4 linked regions of the Canis lupus familiaris genome follow. The protein of the gene in region 4 interacts with the protein of the main gene of each other region in a biochemical or structural test. Links are inferred from orthologs where the notes say so. Each region holds a gene or a part of one and is shown on either strand. Other genes may lie near its edges.

What was found. The genes of interacting proteins can lie anywhere in the genome.
Region 1: of the proteins of PML (region 4) and HIPK2, one has a biochemical effect on the other in vitro, tested with the Homo sapiens proteins (2 studies listed by BioGRID). The link is inferred for Canis lupus familiaris from reciprocal best matches to the Homo sapiens genes PML and HIPK2.
Region 2: the proteins of PML (region 4) and CREBBP form a complex in vitro, tested with the Homo sapiens proteins (2 studies listed by BioGRID). The link is inferred for Canis lupus familiaris from reciprocal best matches to the Homo sapiens genes PML and CREBBP.
Region 3: of the proteins of PML (region 4) and RNF4, one has a biochemical effect on the other in vitro, tested with the Homo sapiens proteins (3 studies listed by BioGRID, with this or other methods). The link is inferred for Canis lupus familiaris from reciprocal best matches to the Homo sapiens genes PML and RNF4.

What each region holds. Positions count from the first base shown.
Region 1 is NC_049237.1:8,903,732-8,907,712, forward strand, and holds the start of HIPK2 (homeodomain-interacting protein kinase 2), read left to right. Parts: upstream 1-1,169; coding exon 1,170-2,251; intron 2,252-3,981.
Region 2 is NC_049227.1:37,710,937-37,715,182, forward strand, and holds the start of CREBBP (CREB-binding protein), read left to right. Parts: upstream 1-1,434; 5' UTR 1,435-1,514; coding exon 1,515-1,599; intron 1,600-4,246. UniProt on the Homo sapiens protein: Acetylates histones, giving a specific tag for transcriptional activation. Mediates acetylation of histone H3 at 'Lys-18' and 'Lys-27' (H3K18ac and H3K27ac, respectively).
Region 3 is NC_049251.1:11,636,698-11,640,658, forward strand, and holds the start of RNF4 (E3 ubiquitin-protein ligase RNF4), read left to right. Parts: upstream 1-1,149; 5' UTR 1,150-1,312; intron 1,313-3,847; 5' UTR 3,848-3,961. UniProt on the Homo sapiens protein: E3 ubiquitin-protein ligase which binds polysumoylated chains covalently attached to proteins and mediates 'Lys-6'-, 'Lys-11'-, 'Lys-48'- and 'Lys-63'-linked polyubiquitination of those substrates and their subsequent targeting to the proteasome for degradation.
Region 4 is NC_049251.1:37,672,049-37,676,269, reverse strand, and holds the start of PML (protein PML), read right to left. Parts: upstream 2,809-4,221; 5' UTR 2,689-2,808; coding exon 2,554-2,688; intron 308-2,553; coding exon 1-307.

The DNA of each region.
Region 1 (3,981 bases), on a different chromosome or scaffold from region 4:
AAATGTTCAATGACCACTCCAGCTAATGCGAAGGAGTCAGAGACATGAACATAAGGGTGGCTAGATAGTAGTGGTGCTTGACGGAAACCCAGCTGTCCTTGTGCTTCTATGAGAAATGTTTATCAGCTGCAGTTAGATGATGAGCAGTGTTTGTCTTTACTTTCATCTCTAAGAACTTACCTTCCTCATTGTCTTATTTTTTCTTGGTAGTTTTCTTGACTTTTTTGTTGTTGTTGTTTCTAGAATCACCATAATTGTAAATCATACAACTATTCCAGAGTTATGGTTTTATAGATTTCTGAGGTTATCTCAATTGTGGCTGAGGTGTTGGTATGAAATAACAGTACTTTCTAGATAAACATATTAATAGATGAATTTAGCAGGAAAAGTTAGTGAGTGCCCGTGAATGGTGCTACTTACTCCTCCCCCAAAATAAATAAATATTTTAATGTTATAAAACATATAAAATAAATGATCAGATGTTTTGTTTAGGCCACCTAAATGAAAATATCAGACCAAAAAAAAATTAAAAAAAAAAAAATATCAGACCGACTGCTGATCTACTCAGCTCTACAGAATTCATTTAAGATATCTAAGATCCCAGGGGGTACTTATGGTTCATCCAGAAGCTAGCACATCTTGAGTGGCTCCATGATTAGACCTATGTGGGAAGATGTTTCTTCAAATGAGCTAACCTGACAGGGTGTGTGACAAGGCGTAGTAGACCATGCGGGACAACTTCGGATATAACAGTTACCTGGGTCACCTAATACAGTTGGTTTTAGTAGGATTGCAGCCCAGTGAGAATTGAGGAAGAATCTGTTTCTATCATGAACAATATTTATAAAAAGATAAGTAATGAACAAAGTCCTGATACTCTAATTCTGTATCTGAATCTTGATTGTATTCCTGAGTGATTCCACAATTCCCCCATCCCCCTAATTGTGGCAAGGCTGAACACCAGAACTCCTTGGCCCCACCCAAACTTGAGTGGCCAGAATGAGCTTGGCGGAGAGGGGGAATAGATTCTCTTTCCCAACCTTGCTTTGAAGTAGAGTGAAAGTATTCTGTAGGACCCAAGCCATTGGCCAGAACTGAGACAAATCGCTGAATCCATTCATTCAATGGTGACTAAAATATTGATTTTTCCCTTTCTTTTTCTTGTAGGTATGGCCTCACATGTGCAAGTCTTCTCCCCTCACACCCTTCAATCAAGTGCCTTCTGTAGTGTGAAGAAACTGAAAGTAGAGCCGAGTTCCACCTGGGACATGACTGGGTACGGCTCCCACAGCAAAGTGTATAGCCAGAGCAAGAACGTACCACCTTCTCAGCCAGCCACCACAACCGTCAGCACCTCCTTGCCGATCCCAAACCCAAGCCTACCTTACGAGCAGACCATCATCTTCCCAGGAAGCACCGGGCACATAGTTGTAACATCAGCAAGTAGCACTTCTGTCACTGGGCAAGTCCTCGGCGGACCACATAACCTAATGCGTCGAAGCACTGTGAGCCTTCTTGATACCTACCAAAAATGTGGACTCAAGCGTAAGAGTGAGGAGATTGAGAACACAAGCAGCGTGCAGATCATTGAAGAGCATCCACCCATGATTCAGAATAATGCAAGTGGGGCCACCGTAGCCACTGCCACCACATCGACTGCCACCTCCAAAAACAGTGGCTCTAACAGCGAAGGTGATTACCAGCTGGTTCAGCATGAGGTGCTGTGCTCCATGACCAACACTTACGAAGTTTTAGAATTCCTGGGCCGAGGGACGTTTGGGCAAGTGGTCAAGTGCTGGAAACGGGGCACCAACGAAATCGTGGCCATCAAGATCCTGAAGAACCACCCGTCATATGCCCGGCAAGGTCAGATCGAGGTGAGCATCCTGGCCCGCTTGAGCACGGAGAGCGCCGACGACTACAACTTTGTCCGCGCCTATGAATGCTTCCAGCACAAGAACCACACGTGCTTGGTCTTTGAGATGTTGGAGCAGAACCTCTATGACTTTCTGAAGCAGAACAAGTTTAGCCCCTTGCCCCTCAAATACATTCGCCCAGTCCTCCAGCAGGTAGCCACAGCCCTGATGAAACTGAAGAGCCTAGGTCTCATCCATGCCGACCTCAAACCAGAAAACATCATGCTGGTAGATCCTTCCCGACAGCCCTACAGAGTAAAGGTCATCGACTTCGGTTCGGCCAGTCATGTGTCCAAGGCTGTGTGTTCCACCTACCTGCAGTCCAGATACTACAGGTAAGAGCGCTTGCTCAGGGACAGGAGATGCCGAGGGCCCACTGGCGCTGCGTGGTGGTTGCTGGGGGGTAGGGGGGATGTGAATGACACTTCTCCAGGATTGCCCTCAAGGCATCATCATTTAGTCAGACAATTAGGACATGTATATGGAAATGATGGTTAGAAGCCACGTAAGAAGGAAGCCAGTGTGCTCCTTGGCATAGATGTTCAGAGTCCAAAGGGATGCCTAGAGGCCAGGGTGCAGGGCTTGGCAGGGGGGGTTAGGTCCCCCGACACATAGGGAGGATCCAGACCTGGGCAGGCTGGGCCAGAGGGGCATGCATTACTGAAATCACTGCTGTAGGAACACCCAAGACTCTCATGGAAGACAAGGAGGACACCTGCCCCCCATTAGGCCACAGCAGGGAATCTGTGGGTAGTGGCTGATAGGATTGAAAGAGTAGCTTGGAGCAGGGTGTCGGGGGGATCTTAAATATCACACTAAGGGGTTGCAACCATGGAGCACGCACTGAGGTGCCAGAACAGGTAGCAGGGTGAAAGTGATGCTGGGAAGATGGCTTTTATGTCCCTGGGGAGGCAGGAGGGCGAGCAGAGGCCCAGAGGCCAGTCAGCCCCCGCCTGCAGTAGAGAGCTCCCGATTTGGATTTGGTCAGGACAGAGGGAGGCCTGTGGCCGCCCAGGCAGGGAGTGCAAAACTTACGCTCCTCACTCACTCAGCAAGAACTCCAGCATGTGCTGGGCACCAGCATGCGGCACAACAGCCCCGGCCAGGCCCTCACCATCCTGGAGTCTCCAGTGGACTGGTTCCCCATCTCGGCTGTGCGTCGGATGGGGGATGGGGTGGGGTGAGGGATGGTGTTGAAAACTAACCTGGCTTGGGTCCTAATCCCCACAAACTGAATCAGCCCTTCTGGGTGTGGGGTCCTGCATGGGTGCTTTCTAACAGCTTTTCTGGGGATCCCAGTGCGCAGCTGGGGTTGGGAGCAGCAGCTCTGTGGGGACCCAGATGAGAGAACACTGGCTTTAGAGTCCGAGAGACCCAAGGCTGGCCTGAATCCCCACACTCAGTAAGCTGTGTGGTGTAGCCTTGTTGCCTTGTTTCTCTGTGCCTTCACTTCCTCACCCATAAGCTGGGGAAGTCCGGTCACCAGCCTCAGGGTTGCTGGGACAGTGGACCGCAGTGACGCGGCCGGAGTGCTTTCCTCACTGGCCAGCTCGTGGTCAGTGCGTGAGGAGTGGAGAGAAATGGGAAGCAGAAGAGTCTGTTCTGGGGAGACATTGATGGGCTGTGCTTGAGGGGATGTCGAGCAGTCCAGTGATTGTGGAGGTTAGCAGGAAACATCCTAAAACTCCCGTGAGAAGATAGCACTGGCACGCATTTAAGAGATTGCCACATAGCCATAAAACCAGAGTCCCAAGACTCATGTGCCTGAGCCCCTGTGCCCTGACACTCTGATCGTAGGTGTGCTTTCTCCACCCTTCCCTCTAGGCCACAGAGAAACGCTGCAAAATGGGCTACGTCACGTGGGCCCAGCTGACTGGTCACCTGTCCCCATAGCTGACCCCTTTACCCATCCTCAGCCTGTGAGTCTCGGTGGATAACCTCACGCCCCCTTTCCTGAGAGATCTGAGCCACAGGTCGTGTCCCCCCATCCACGGGGACCCTGTTGTGGCTCTGTGCTGCCTCCCCTCCCAACCCCTACCCCTGCCATCTCCTGAGCTGCAGTGAC
Region 2 (4,246 bases), on a different chromosome or scaffold from region 4:
AGGTCGCACCCACCACCTCCCGTGCAGGTGAGGCCGTCGCGCAGGCAGCCCCGACGCATCGGGCTGGGGGAACAGGGCATCTTGCGTCCCCCGCACTCCAGTTGGGGGGGGGGGGCTCGAGTCCCGATCCTGCCCCCTCCTGCCTCAGTTTCCCCCTCTGCACACACTCGCGGACGGTCTGCAACCTGCGGGAGCCCCGATGCGTCGCTGGCAACCGGTGAGGGGAGGCGGCCAGGCCCGGTCAACCGGGAGACGGTCGCGGGCAGGGACGCGAGGAACCGGGGACCGGGCAGAGTCGCCCAGCGGGACGGGCGGGCCCGGCCGGCGCCGACTCCACGCCCGGGGGCCCCGCTCGCCGCCAGGCCGCAGCCCTGGCCCTAGCCGCCCAGCGGCCAGCAGAACAAAAGTGGCTGCCGCGCGGGGCGCGGGGCGTCCCACAGGCGCGGCCGCTGCGCCGCCGGGGCAGCCCCGCCGCCCCACGCACGCCGGCCGCGCCTTCGGCCCCTTCCGCCCGAGCGCGCTCGGCTCTTTCCGCCGCGAACGGCGCAGGTGGAGGGGGCGGGGCGGGGGCCGTGCGTGGTGACGCCGCGGGGGGGGTGACGCACCGGCGTGCCCCGCCCCCTCCCCCTCCCCGTTCAGGCTCTGGAAAGAGAAGAAAAAAAACTTTCTTTTTTTTTTAATTGAGGAATCAACAGCCGCCATCTTGTCGCGGACCCGACCGGGGCTTCGAGCGCGATCTACTCGGCCCCCGCCGGTCCCGGGCCCCACAACCGCCCGCGCACCCCCGCTCCGCCCGGCCGGCCCGCTCCGCCCGGCCCTCGGTGCCCGCTCCGGCGGCCCCGCTCGCCTCTCGGCTCGGCCTCCCGGAGCCGCGGCGGCGGCGGCGGCGGCGGCAGGCGGCGGCGGCGGCGGCGGCGGCGGCGGAACGGGGGGTGGGGGGGGCCGCGGCGGCGGCGGCGGCGGCCCCGCTTCGCGCATTGTTTTTCCTCACGGCGGCGGCGGCGGCGGCGGGCCGCGGGCGGGGAGCGGAGCCCGGAGCCCCCCGGTCGTCGGGCCGCGAGCGAATTAATTAAGTGGGGCGCGGGGGGGGGGGGGGAGCGAGGCGGCGGCGCGGCGGCGGCGGCGGCACCATGTTCCCGGGGACTGCCTGAGCCGCCCGGCCGGGCGCCGTCGCTGCCAGCCGGGCCCGGGGGGGCGGCCGGGCCGCCGGGGCGCCCCCGCCGCGGAGTGTCGCGCTCGGGAGGCGGGCAGGGGATGAGGGGGCCGCGGCCGGCGGCGGCGGCGGCGGCGGCCGGGGGCGGGCGGTGAGCGCTGCGGGGCGCTGTTGCTGTGGCTGAGATTTGGCCGCCGCCTCCCCCACCCGGCCTGCGCCCTCCCTCTCCCTCGGCGCTCGCTCGCGGCTCGCGCTCGCTGCTCTCCCCTCGCAGCCGGCCGGGGCCGGCGCCGACCCCCGCCCCGGAGCTCTTGCCGGCCCGGCCGCCCGCGCTCGGGGCTGTTTCCGCGAGCAGGTGAAAATGGCCGAGAACTTGCTGGACGGACCGCCCAACCCCAAACGAGCCAAACTCAGCTCGCCCGGCTTCTCGGCGAATGACAGCACAGGTGAGGAGGGGGGGCCCGGGCGGGGGGCGGGGGCCCAGCCCGCAGGTTAGCGCCGGGGGGACCCGCCCCGAGGCGCCAGCCCGCGCGGCCGCTGCCCGGGGCCCCGCCGGCCCGGGCCGAGGGGGAAGTTTGTGGCCGGACGGCGCCGGGGCCCCGAGCGGGGGGCCAGCCCCGGAGTTGGGGAGCCCTCCGCGCGCGGAAGGCGAGCGGTACCTGCGGGGAGCACAAGGGGAGCGGAGCGCGCCGGGCTTCGTGGCGGTTCCGCGCGCCTCCCTGTGCGGCCGTGCGTCGGCTCACGCGGGGCTGCCTGGAGGGCTGACAGCGGAGGGTGGGCTTCCCGGTGACGGAGGGGAAAAGTGCAGCGAAGCGGGGGTGGGGGTGGGGGGACGACCCAAAGTCTTTTCTGAGCTGGTAGCACGATTCGCAGCGCTGCGATCCGGATCAGGACACACGCTCCACACACACAGCTCGCTCGTAGCAGCAGCCGACCTGGGAGTTGGGACTTTGGAAGTTTCTTGGGATGCGGTCCTTGGGAAGATGCTTTTCGCAGTTTGTCTTGAAAAAACTCTGGTTGTTGGGTCTACCCAAGGCCGTTCCGTTTGCACCAGCCCCAACTCGGTTAGCAAGATGTCATCCAAGTTGCTGTGCTGTGTTTAACTTCAGAGGCATGACCTTAAAAGAAAGTTTAGGTACAGCAGATCCTTTCGGGCTACATCCTCCGGCTTGAGTTGGTGGGGCTTTTACACTGTGGGTGTATTAAAGAAAATTATGTTAAGGAATGTAGGAATCGCAGGTCCCACCCACCACCACCACCCCCTCCAAAAAAAAATTTTTTTTTTTTTTTAGCCAGGTATTAAATGAAGCGTTCTTTCAAACAGCATCCATGAAAACTTTGTGAAGTAATCCCATCAGTTGCCTAAGTATTTTAGTTTCTATTCGTTTAATAACTCTGGGCTCTTCTGAGCTGGTTCACGGTAGCATTATGATCGAGTTGTATTTCCTCTTTCAGACCTCTCCTTTGCAGTAAAAACTTGTGCACCGCTGCGAACAGTTCTGTCTCCAGCGCAGCCTGCATTTCTCCAGTACGGTCTTGGTAGTAGCAGCATCTGAAAATCAGTTTATAATGAATGGGTCCAAATTGAATTATATTGCTGCAGCGATGCCTTCAGATTTGCAGTAGACACAGCTGTTCAGCTTGTGCAAATATTTCTGTGGCCACTGGCATATTTCTACTAATGGTCTAAAAAAATCTGTTTCTCCTGTTGAAACAAAACTACTTGGGTTTTGTGGCTTCGGTTTTAATACAATTTCAAGGATAGTAATGTAGGTGTGAGAGAAAGGATATTTTAAAATATCATGAGATTCTTATCTAGTTTAAATACAATTTGTTAAACGGTGGGGGGGGAGTAAATAAGTCTCATGGGGCAAAAAGTCACTAATACTTTTTTGTAATTGATAGAGTGGAGTGTGATGTTTATTTTGTCAAATCAGCTTGTCTGAAGTAAGAAATGTGGAAACAGCCATGACTTAGATGCCCTTTTACTATAGAACAGATCTCTTTTGCTTCATTAATCTTGCTATGTTTGAGTGAAAAGTCTTTAATCATATGAAACATAGATCATACCAGGCAAGTTCAGCTTTGAAGTTTGTCTTCTGAAACTGGTAACTTTTTGAATGGCTTTGCAGCTTTGCTCTTGTCAAATGAGGCTATTGCAGATTGTGTTTTCTATAGAGGGATAAATTACTAACACAAGACTTAACAGAAAGGGTTTTCCGAATATATACATTCAGCTGTTAACAAGGTGGAGCCTAGAGAATGGCCTTTTTGGGTAGTTCTGTTAATGGATGGTCAGATATTTACTTGATGCGCTGCTAAATCACAACAAATTTTTTCGGAAAGGATTTTTCCCTCTTGGCTACTTTTTCTCCCCTTTCTTTTCCAACGTTGATCCTCCTAAAGCATGAGGGCTCACTCTTTTCCAAATGGGGAACACAAATTTTTAATAGCTCTGATTTAAATAATAAAATTCATGATTATACTTATGTCAAGTCACCTTGGTTACGTTTTCATCACGTCACATTATTGGCCAGAGTCTATCAGTGCGGGGGCCAAGGAAGGATCGTCATCGAGCAAATTAAAGGAGGTACAACCTTGTCTTCTGTAACCAGTAGTCTGAGACAGAGATCCTAAGGATATATATTGAACAAATAAAGGACTCTAGGAATCACATTACGTCCAATCAAAGGAGTGAAGGCATTGGGGTAGGTGGGAAAGTAGGGAGAGACTCAACCTCGTTTAAGTGAGGGGATGTGTTTTTGAGGCTCCTGGAAGAAAAATGGAGCCAGGTGGAGCAAAGCGCGTTTTCTTTTTCCGTGATAATAGAATTTGAAGGGAGTTCTGTACATGGGAAGAGCTGAGAGGTTAGGAGGAGCAGGAGGCAGCCTGGTGGCCTGAGAAACGAGGGATTTGGACTGCTACCATGCAGCACATGTCTGTAGGGACTGGCCTGGGGAGCCATCGTGTCCGTTGCGTGAGTCTAAGGGACTGACATTGGGTGGAGAGAATAGTACTCCTGACATTGGGTAGCTAGCTCACAAGCCAGGGTGCTCCCCGCAGGGCACTTGCAGTCTAGTAAGGGGAGCGTGT
Region 3 (3,961 bases), about 26 Mb from region 4:
AAAATTTCCCTTGTTCAGGGAGACACACCTTTGGAAATGATTTCCCATGATCGCCTTGTTTGTACAAATAAAGTTGACTTTGTAAGGCAACTCCGTTTGGTGTAGTCCCTGTCTATAACTCATCAAGGAGCAGGCCTTTGTTTGGTTTGGTAACTAACAGTCCTGGCATAGTAAATAGTCAATACATAATCAAGAAATGAAGGCCACCTAGTGGCTCAGGGGTTGAGCCGCTGCCTTTGGCTCAGGTTCTGATCCAAGGGTCCAGGGATCCAGTCCCGCATCGGGCTCCCTGCAGGAAGTCTGCTTCTTTCTCTGCCTATGTCTCTGCCTCTCCGTGTCTCTCATGAATCAATAAATAAAATCTTTTAAAAATAACAAAATAATTGAAAAATAAAACACTTTTTTACATCTGATTGTAAAGACCAGATTATGAGCAGGTTTTTCATACACTGAATGAGAGAGAGAGAGAGAGGGAGGGAGAGAAAGAATGGGGGGGGGGGGCCCTGGGGCCCTGGCCCTCAGCCCCTAGTACCCCCAGTGACCACACATCATTGGAACAACCAAAAATAGCCCTGTTAATTTTCAAAACTTTTAGAGAGGCGATACTGCCTCTATTGAATGAGAACCACTTTTTCTTGAGAGTGGGGAGTAGCTGATCTAAAGAACAACATTCTGGCGCCTCTCTCTTCTGAGGACGAAGCTAACCCTTTCCTAACCCGGTACACGGCGTTCCGCCCAGAGACTGATGACGCGGCCCGTGGCCTCGGGTTTTGATTGGGCAGGTGAGAAATGAAAATAGCGGATTAAAAGGAGGGAGAGCCCCAACGCCTTCCGCCGTCCTGTCGCTAGCCTGGGCCGAGACCCCTCGGAGACCGTGGCCGGGCTCCTGCCTGCGCGCCGCCGCGCCGGAGCGCGCTCGCGGTGAGTCCGCTCCGGGGCCGCGCCTCCCGGTCCTCGCTCCCGGCGGCGGGTAGCCGGGCGCCTGGGTTCGCGCCCCCGCGCTCGGCGCAGGCCGGCCGGGGAGCGGCGCGGAGGCTGAGGCGTGGCGCGCGGCGGGCAGCCGGCCCTCCAGGGCGTCCTGGCTGGATAGCTGCCGGCGCGGGACTGGGCTGGACCAGACAGAACCGCTAAGTCATCGCTGGGGTGCGTGGCTGGGTGGGCGGTGGCGGGCGCTTCCGTTCCGGGCTCCCCCGCCTCCACCTGAAGGTTCTCTCTCCCTGGGAACAGCGCGGAGGAGGAGGAGCGAGGGGTCACTGAAGGGCGGCGACCGGCCGAAGGCAGCTGTCCAGGGCCTAAGACAAGACTTGCCTCGGTGAGTGGGCGCGTCCGGCGGAGCGCTGGGCCGTCCTCGGGTGCCCTCCTCCCCATTTTCCTTTAGGGTCCCACATTTCCCCCACGGGTTCTAGGGCTTGTGTCTAAATCCAGATTGTGTCACACTGTTTTGTGTAACATTTCTATGGCAGCTTCTATGTTTGTTTTTGTAAAAGCTTTATTGAGGGACGTCTGGGTGGCTCAGAGGTTGGGCATCTGCCTTTGGCTCAGGGCATGGCACTAGGGTCCCGGATCAAGTCCCACATTCGGGCTCCCTGCATGGAGTCTGCTTCTCCCTTGCCTCTGTCTCTGCCATTTAAAATAATAATAATAAAAAAAAAGGCTTTATTGAGATATAATTCACAAACCATACAATTCGTGTTCAACGTAACACCACTCAGTGGGTTTTAGTGTATTCACAGAGATGTGCAGACATCACTTCAATTTTAGGACATTTTCCTGATCCCAAAAGAAACCCTGTACCCATTAGCAGTCATTTCCTATTTCTCCTCAACACCCCAGGCCTAAGGAACCACTCACCTTTCTGTCTCTAAGGAGTTGCCTGTTCTTGACATTTTATATTAAAGGAATCAAACCGTTTATGGTCTTTGGTGATTGGCTTCTATGACTTTATATGATGTTTTCAAAGATCATCCATATTATAGCAAGTATCTGTCCTTTATTTTTTTATTTTACTGCTGAATAATACTTCATTCTATTGATATATCACATTTTGTTTATCCATTCATTATTCAGTAGGTACTCAGGTTGTTTCTACTTTTTGTGGTATTAAGAATGATATTGTTATCCACATTCTTTTTTTAAAGATTTTTATTTATTTATTTATTCATAGAGACAGAGAGAGAGAGAGAGAGAGGCAGAGACACAGGCAGAGGGAGAAGCGGGCATCATACAGAGAGCCTGACATGGGACTCGATCCAGGGTCTCCAGGATCACGCCTGGGCTGCAGGCGGCGCTAAACCGCTGCACCACTGGGGCTGCCCTGTTATTAACATTCTTGTACAAGTTTTCAGATTGGACAGAAGCTTTCAATTCTCTTGGAGTGGAGTTGCGGAGTCATATGGTAACTCTATGTTTAACCTTTTGAGGAACTGCCAGACTGTTTTCCAAAGCTGCTGCACCATTTTACATTCCCACCAGCACTATATGAGAATCTCAATTTTTCTACATCCTCAACAACACTTGATATTTTCTATTTCTTAAATTATAGTCATCCTAGTGAGTGTGAAGTGGTATCTCATAATGGCTATAATATGCATTTCCCTAATGATGACTGAGGATGCATTGTTTTTTAAATTACAAAATTTAAATTTTTCTTTATTATTATTTTTAAAAGATTTTATTTATTCATGAGAGACACACACACACACAGAAAGAGAGAGAGAGAGAGAGAGAGAGAGAGGCAGAGACATAGTCAGAGGGAGAAGCAGGCTCCCTGCAGGGAGCCCGATGTGGACTCGGTCCCAGGACCCGGGATCATGCCCTGAGCTGAAGGCAGATGCTCAACCAATGAGCCACCCAAGTGTCCCAACAAAATTATTTTTAGAAAGAATTTACATGCTGAGGTTTTGAGAACTTTAACCGTCTACATCACATGTCCAAAGTCACAGAGCCTAGACTCAAAACAAGTCTCTCTAAGGCAAATGCTTGAACTCCACCCCCTCTTTCCTAAAAGAGAATCTGTGATAAAACTCTTCAAGAAAATTTCTCTTGTTATCTCTGTTAGAAAGGGAACACTGCACAAGATGAATCTCTGCATGGACTAAATGGTTCATTTCTTATTTGCTATTAGAAACCCAAATGTGCAAATAACTTTTTGGTCTCTTAATTTTTCTTTGTAAAAAATAAGTGTTTCCAGGGCACCTGGGTGGCTTAGTCAGTTAAGTGTCTGACTTGATTTGATTGATCTGACTTGATTTCAGCTTAGGTTGTGAAAACAAGCCCCCAGTTGGGCTTTGTACTGGGTATAGAGTCTGCTTAAGATTCTCTCTCAACCTCTTCCTCTGCTCCTTCTCCTTCTCTCTCTCTCTAAAAAAAAAAAAAAAAAACAAAAAAACAAAAAAAAACGTGTTTCCTTGACATCCTCACACTGGATCTTAGATGAAGTAGTGACACTTTCTTGGTATGCAGTACTTTTTTTTCTCTTTTTTTAAAGATGTATTCATCCACTGTTTTAGAGAGTCAAGCAGACTCCACATAGAGCTCAGAGCCCCATATGGGGCTTGAGACCATGACCCAGCCAAAACTAATAGCCAGACGCTCAATTGACTGCACCACCCAGATGCCCCAGCATGAAGTGATTTTGTGCTTTTCTTCATGTTAGTGCCCTTTGGACTTCTTCTTCCCACTGTCATCAGGACATGGAATGTGGAAAGACAAAAGCTTAAACTTTGTTTAAATGCATAATTATCCAAATATTTTGAGTACACATTTTTTTCCTCTAGATATCTATTCATTTTATACTATCAATTTTACGTTAGATATTACCAAAATTTACTTTTTCTCTTTTTTACAGTTAAAAATTCAGGTTGTGTAGTCTTAAAAGTGACATCCAGAAGCCTCATAAACCCACCTACGTAGGAACACAGCAGTTGTAGAGGTGGAGAGAGGAGCAACCAGAATTAGAGTT
Region 4 (4,221 bases):
AGAGGAGCTGCTCGCACTCAAAACACCAGAAGTCCGCAGGTTCTTTGCATCGGGTGCAAACAGCTTGCGCGTCCACGATCTGCCTGTAAACCGACAGGCGCCGCTGCAGGCTCTCGAAGAAGACGTTGTCCAGGGCCGGCGAGCCAGCGCCTAGAGGCCCGGGCACCTGGCAGATGGAGCAGCGCAGGCCCGATGCCTCCAGGCATCCCGAGCAGAGCGTGTGCAGACACGGCAGCAGCTTGGGGCACTTGGCTTCGGCCTGGCAGCTCTGGCAGCACAGAAACTGGAACTCCTCCTCCAGGGCTTGCTGGGGGACCAGAGAGGTGGGGTGAGGCCTGAAATCCCGGAGCCCCCCCCCAGATCCTCTGCAGGGAGCACGGCACTACGAGGCCCGGACACCCAAGGATGGGAGCATAAATCCCTACCTTCAAGGGACTCGCTCTAGAAAGGAGATACGTGAAGCGTATCTCATGTAAATCATAAACAGTGCTTAATATGGTTTGGTGGAGGGGCACCTGGGGGCTCAGGGCGTGATCCTGGGGTCCTGGGATCGAGTCCCGCATTGGGCTCCCTGCATGGAGCCTGCTTCTCCCTCTGCCTATGTCTCTGCCTCTCTCTCTGTGTGTGTCTCTCATGAATAAATAAATAAAATCTTAAAAATATATATGGTTTGGTGGCTCCTGAAGAAGTTAAACACAGGAGTACTATATAACCCAGCAATTTCATTCCTAGATAGATTTCCCAAAATAACTGAAGACAAGTAGCTGAACAGATACTTTACACCCATGTCCACAGCACCATCATGCACAGGCTCCAAAAGGTAGAAATAACCCAAGTGTCCATCAACAAATGAACAGATAAACAAAACCGGTCTACGCGTGCAATGGAGTATCATTCAGTTTTTAAAAATGAAGGAAGAGGGACGTCTGGGTGGCTCAGCAGTTGAGCATCTGCCTTTGGCCCAGGGCGTGATCCTGGGGTCCCTGGATCGAGTCCCATATCGGGCTCCCTGCAAGGAGCCTGCTTCTCCCTCTGCCTGCGTCTCTGCCTCTCTCAAATAAATAAAATCTTTAAAAAAATCTTTAAAAAAATATATAAATAAAATAAAATCTTTAAAAAAGAAAATGAAGGAAGGGGCGCCTGGCTGGCTCAGTTGGTGGAGAATGTGACTCTTGATCTTGGGTTTGTGAGTTCAAGCCCCACACTGGGTGTAGAGGTTACTTAAAAATAAGATCTTTACCAAAAATAACATAAAATAAAATGAAAAGGAAGTAAATTCTCATACATGCTATGAGAACCTTGAAAACATTAGGCTAAGCAAAATAAGACAAACACGAAGGGACAAATAATTGGATGGCTCACTTATATGAAATATCTAGCATCGGCAGATCCACAGCAGCAGAAAAGTAGAGTGGAGGTTACCAGGAGCTGGGAGAAGCGGGTAAATAAGGAGCTACTGCTTAGGGAGTACAGTTTCTGTGGAGGGTGATGAAAAAAATTCTGGAAATAGATGGTGGTTGACGGTTACCCAACATTGTGAATATATTCAATGCCACTGAAATGTACACTTAAAAACCGTTAAGTTTTTGGGGCACCTGGCTGGCTCAGTGAGCGCAGCACGAGGCTCTGGATCCTGCGGTTGTTAAGTTCAAGCCCCATGCTGGGCGTAGAGATTACTTAGAAGAAATAAAAATGTTAAAAACATGGTAATTTTAATATTATGGATATTTTCTAGAAAAAAAAAGGGGGAAAAAGTGCTTAATAAAGTACTGGCCCACGAGGAATGTTCACAAGGAAGTAGTACGATTCCTAGTTGTAATAATGCACAGAATAGAAGTTACTGCAGGATGGTGCTTTCATGAAGGGCCTGGGAAAACACACTGCATGAGATGTGAAGTAGCTCCTCTGGGGCAGGAGGGCAGCTGGGGAGCTTGTCCCGAGCAGACCCAGGCAAGCTTCCGGGAAGAGGCCCCAGGAAACCCGGAGCAGACCCAGGCAAGCTTCCGGAAGAGGCCCCAGTACACCCTTTGTGGACCCAGGGTGGGGGTGCGGGGGTGGAGGGCACACAGGGTGTTCCAACAGAAGGATCTTGGAGGTAGGTATCCTAGCGGAGAAGCCACCCCAAGAGCTGTGAGGCCTTAGCCAAGACACTTCTCTCGTCTGGGCCAGGTTCCCACTTCCTGATCTGGGAACTCGGCTTTTGGTTTTCCACACTTGGGACATGCCCCTGGCTCTCGGCCTGCTCCCCAGGGCTACCCCGCCATCCCCCGAATCCCTGGACCTTCATCTGAGGCTCAGGGGGGCAAGTCGCCAGGGTGGGCAGATGAGTCCAGGCCCTCAGCACCTTGCCCCCTGTCCGTGGGGCATGCCAGCCCCGAGGCCCCCCCAGCTCACCCTGGTACCCTTTCCCACTCTCAGCTGCCCCGAGGGTCGGGGCCCAGTGTCTGGCTTTCTCTCTGGGTCACTCTGGGGAGGTGCCTGGCCTCGCTGTCCCCTCCCTTTCCCGAAGCCATCAACCAAGCCTCCACCCCACCTCCCCAAGCCCAGTGGTACCTCCGCGGGGCTGCGGCTGGGGCTGGGCTGGTGGCCCTCGGAGGCGGGCTCCGGGGGAGGCATGCTGGGCGCCCCGGACGGTGCGGGGTCCTGCCCGGGCGCCGGAGAGCGGGGGGGCGCGGGCTCCTGCTGCATGGATCCCAGCACAGTTTCGCTTCTGGGTTTTGAGCCTGAGGGGGGAGGAGAAGCGAAACCGAGAGGCAGGGACCGGATCGCGGTCGCCGGAGCCCGTGGGAGGGACGGCCCCACTCAGGGCCCGCCTCCCCGGAGGAAGTGAGACAGAGCCGGGGGGCGGTTCTAGGGCCGGGGAGGGGGGGTCTGGAGACACGCCCCGAGCCGGAGGGAGGAGGGGAGGAGAGAAGATGCTCAGCCGACCTGGGGGTAACCCGGCCGCGGCCTGGCCTAGCGGGAGGGAGGCCGGGCCGCCCTTGGCTTGACCCCGGGCACAGACAGGAGCCACAGGTGGGCCTGCTTTGGAAGAACCCAGGTCTAAGCGAGAGCAGTCACCCAAACAGGTTTGCACGCTGCAGAGGGGCAGGCCGGAAAGGAGATCTCAGCTGGGACGTGCAGGAACTTGGGGATGGGGAACGCTTGCAACAGCACGAGCAAAGGCATGGAGGTTTGAAACAGGAGAGTCTGTTTAGAAACCAGTTTCCAGGGATGCCCGGGTGGCTCAGCGGTTTAGCGCCTGCCTTCAGCCCGGGGTGTGATCCTGGAGACCCCAGATCGAGTCCCACATCGGGCTCCCTGCATGGAACCTGCTTCTCCCTCTGCCTGTGTTGTGTCTCTGCCCCTCTCTCTGTGTGTGTGTGATGTCTCATGAATAAATAAATAAAATCTTAAAAAGAAACCGGTTTTCATTATTTTCAAATTTAAGAGGGGACCCATGAGCAGGATCAGGGCTAAGGAGATGCACTTGTTCTGTGGGCAACAGCGTGAGATTAGAACCCAGAAACATGACCCAACACGCATGTTGGGACAGTCACTCTGGCAACCTGGGATGGGTGACCTGGTCTAGGACAATGGCTGTGGGATGCAGAGGAGGGATCTGAGTCTGAGACACCAGGAGGACAGTGAGTGGAGCTGAGGGGAACAGGATGATGCCTTGGTTGAGAGTTGGAAAGGTTGGTGAGTCTGAGGCAGCGCAGGCAGGGAGTGGAAGGGGAGAGCCGACGAGCAGGTATGAAGACAGCGAGGAGAGAGCAAGTTAGTTCTTGGCTAAAGGGGAAGCATGCCAGCTCCCAGCTGGTGAGGGTAGGAAGCACAACCTCGGGCAGCTTCACTGGATGAAGGGCCCTGGCTTCAAACACCAAACCACCCCAACCACTGTATTACCCGCTGGGTACAATTCTGTGCTCAGTTCCAGCTTGGAGCGGACTAGGGATGGTGATGGGACCTTGCTCTTGTAAAGTTTATCCTCTGGGCTATGTGGGGAAAGGGATTGGCAGGGAGACCCCACTTCCCAGGACCGTGTGAGGCCTCAGGGGCCCTACCCTTCCCTCCAGCCTGATCAGTACCCTCAGGGCTTCAGAATCAGGCCATCAAACTAGAAAAAGCCAAAGATGGTGAGCAGCATCTGCAGAAGGGACCTGGAAGGGTCACATCAGGGGGTGTGAGGGTCTGAGGAGGCAGGATTGGCATGTGGCTGAGACAAGGAAAGCTTCATTA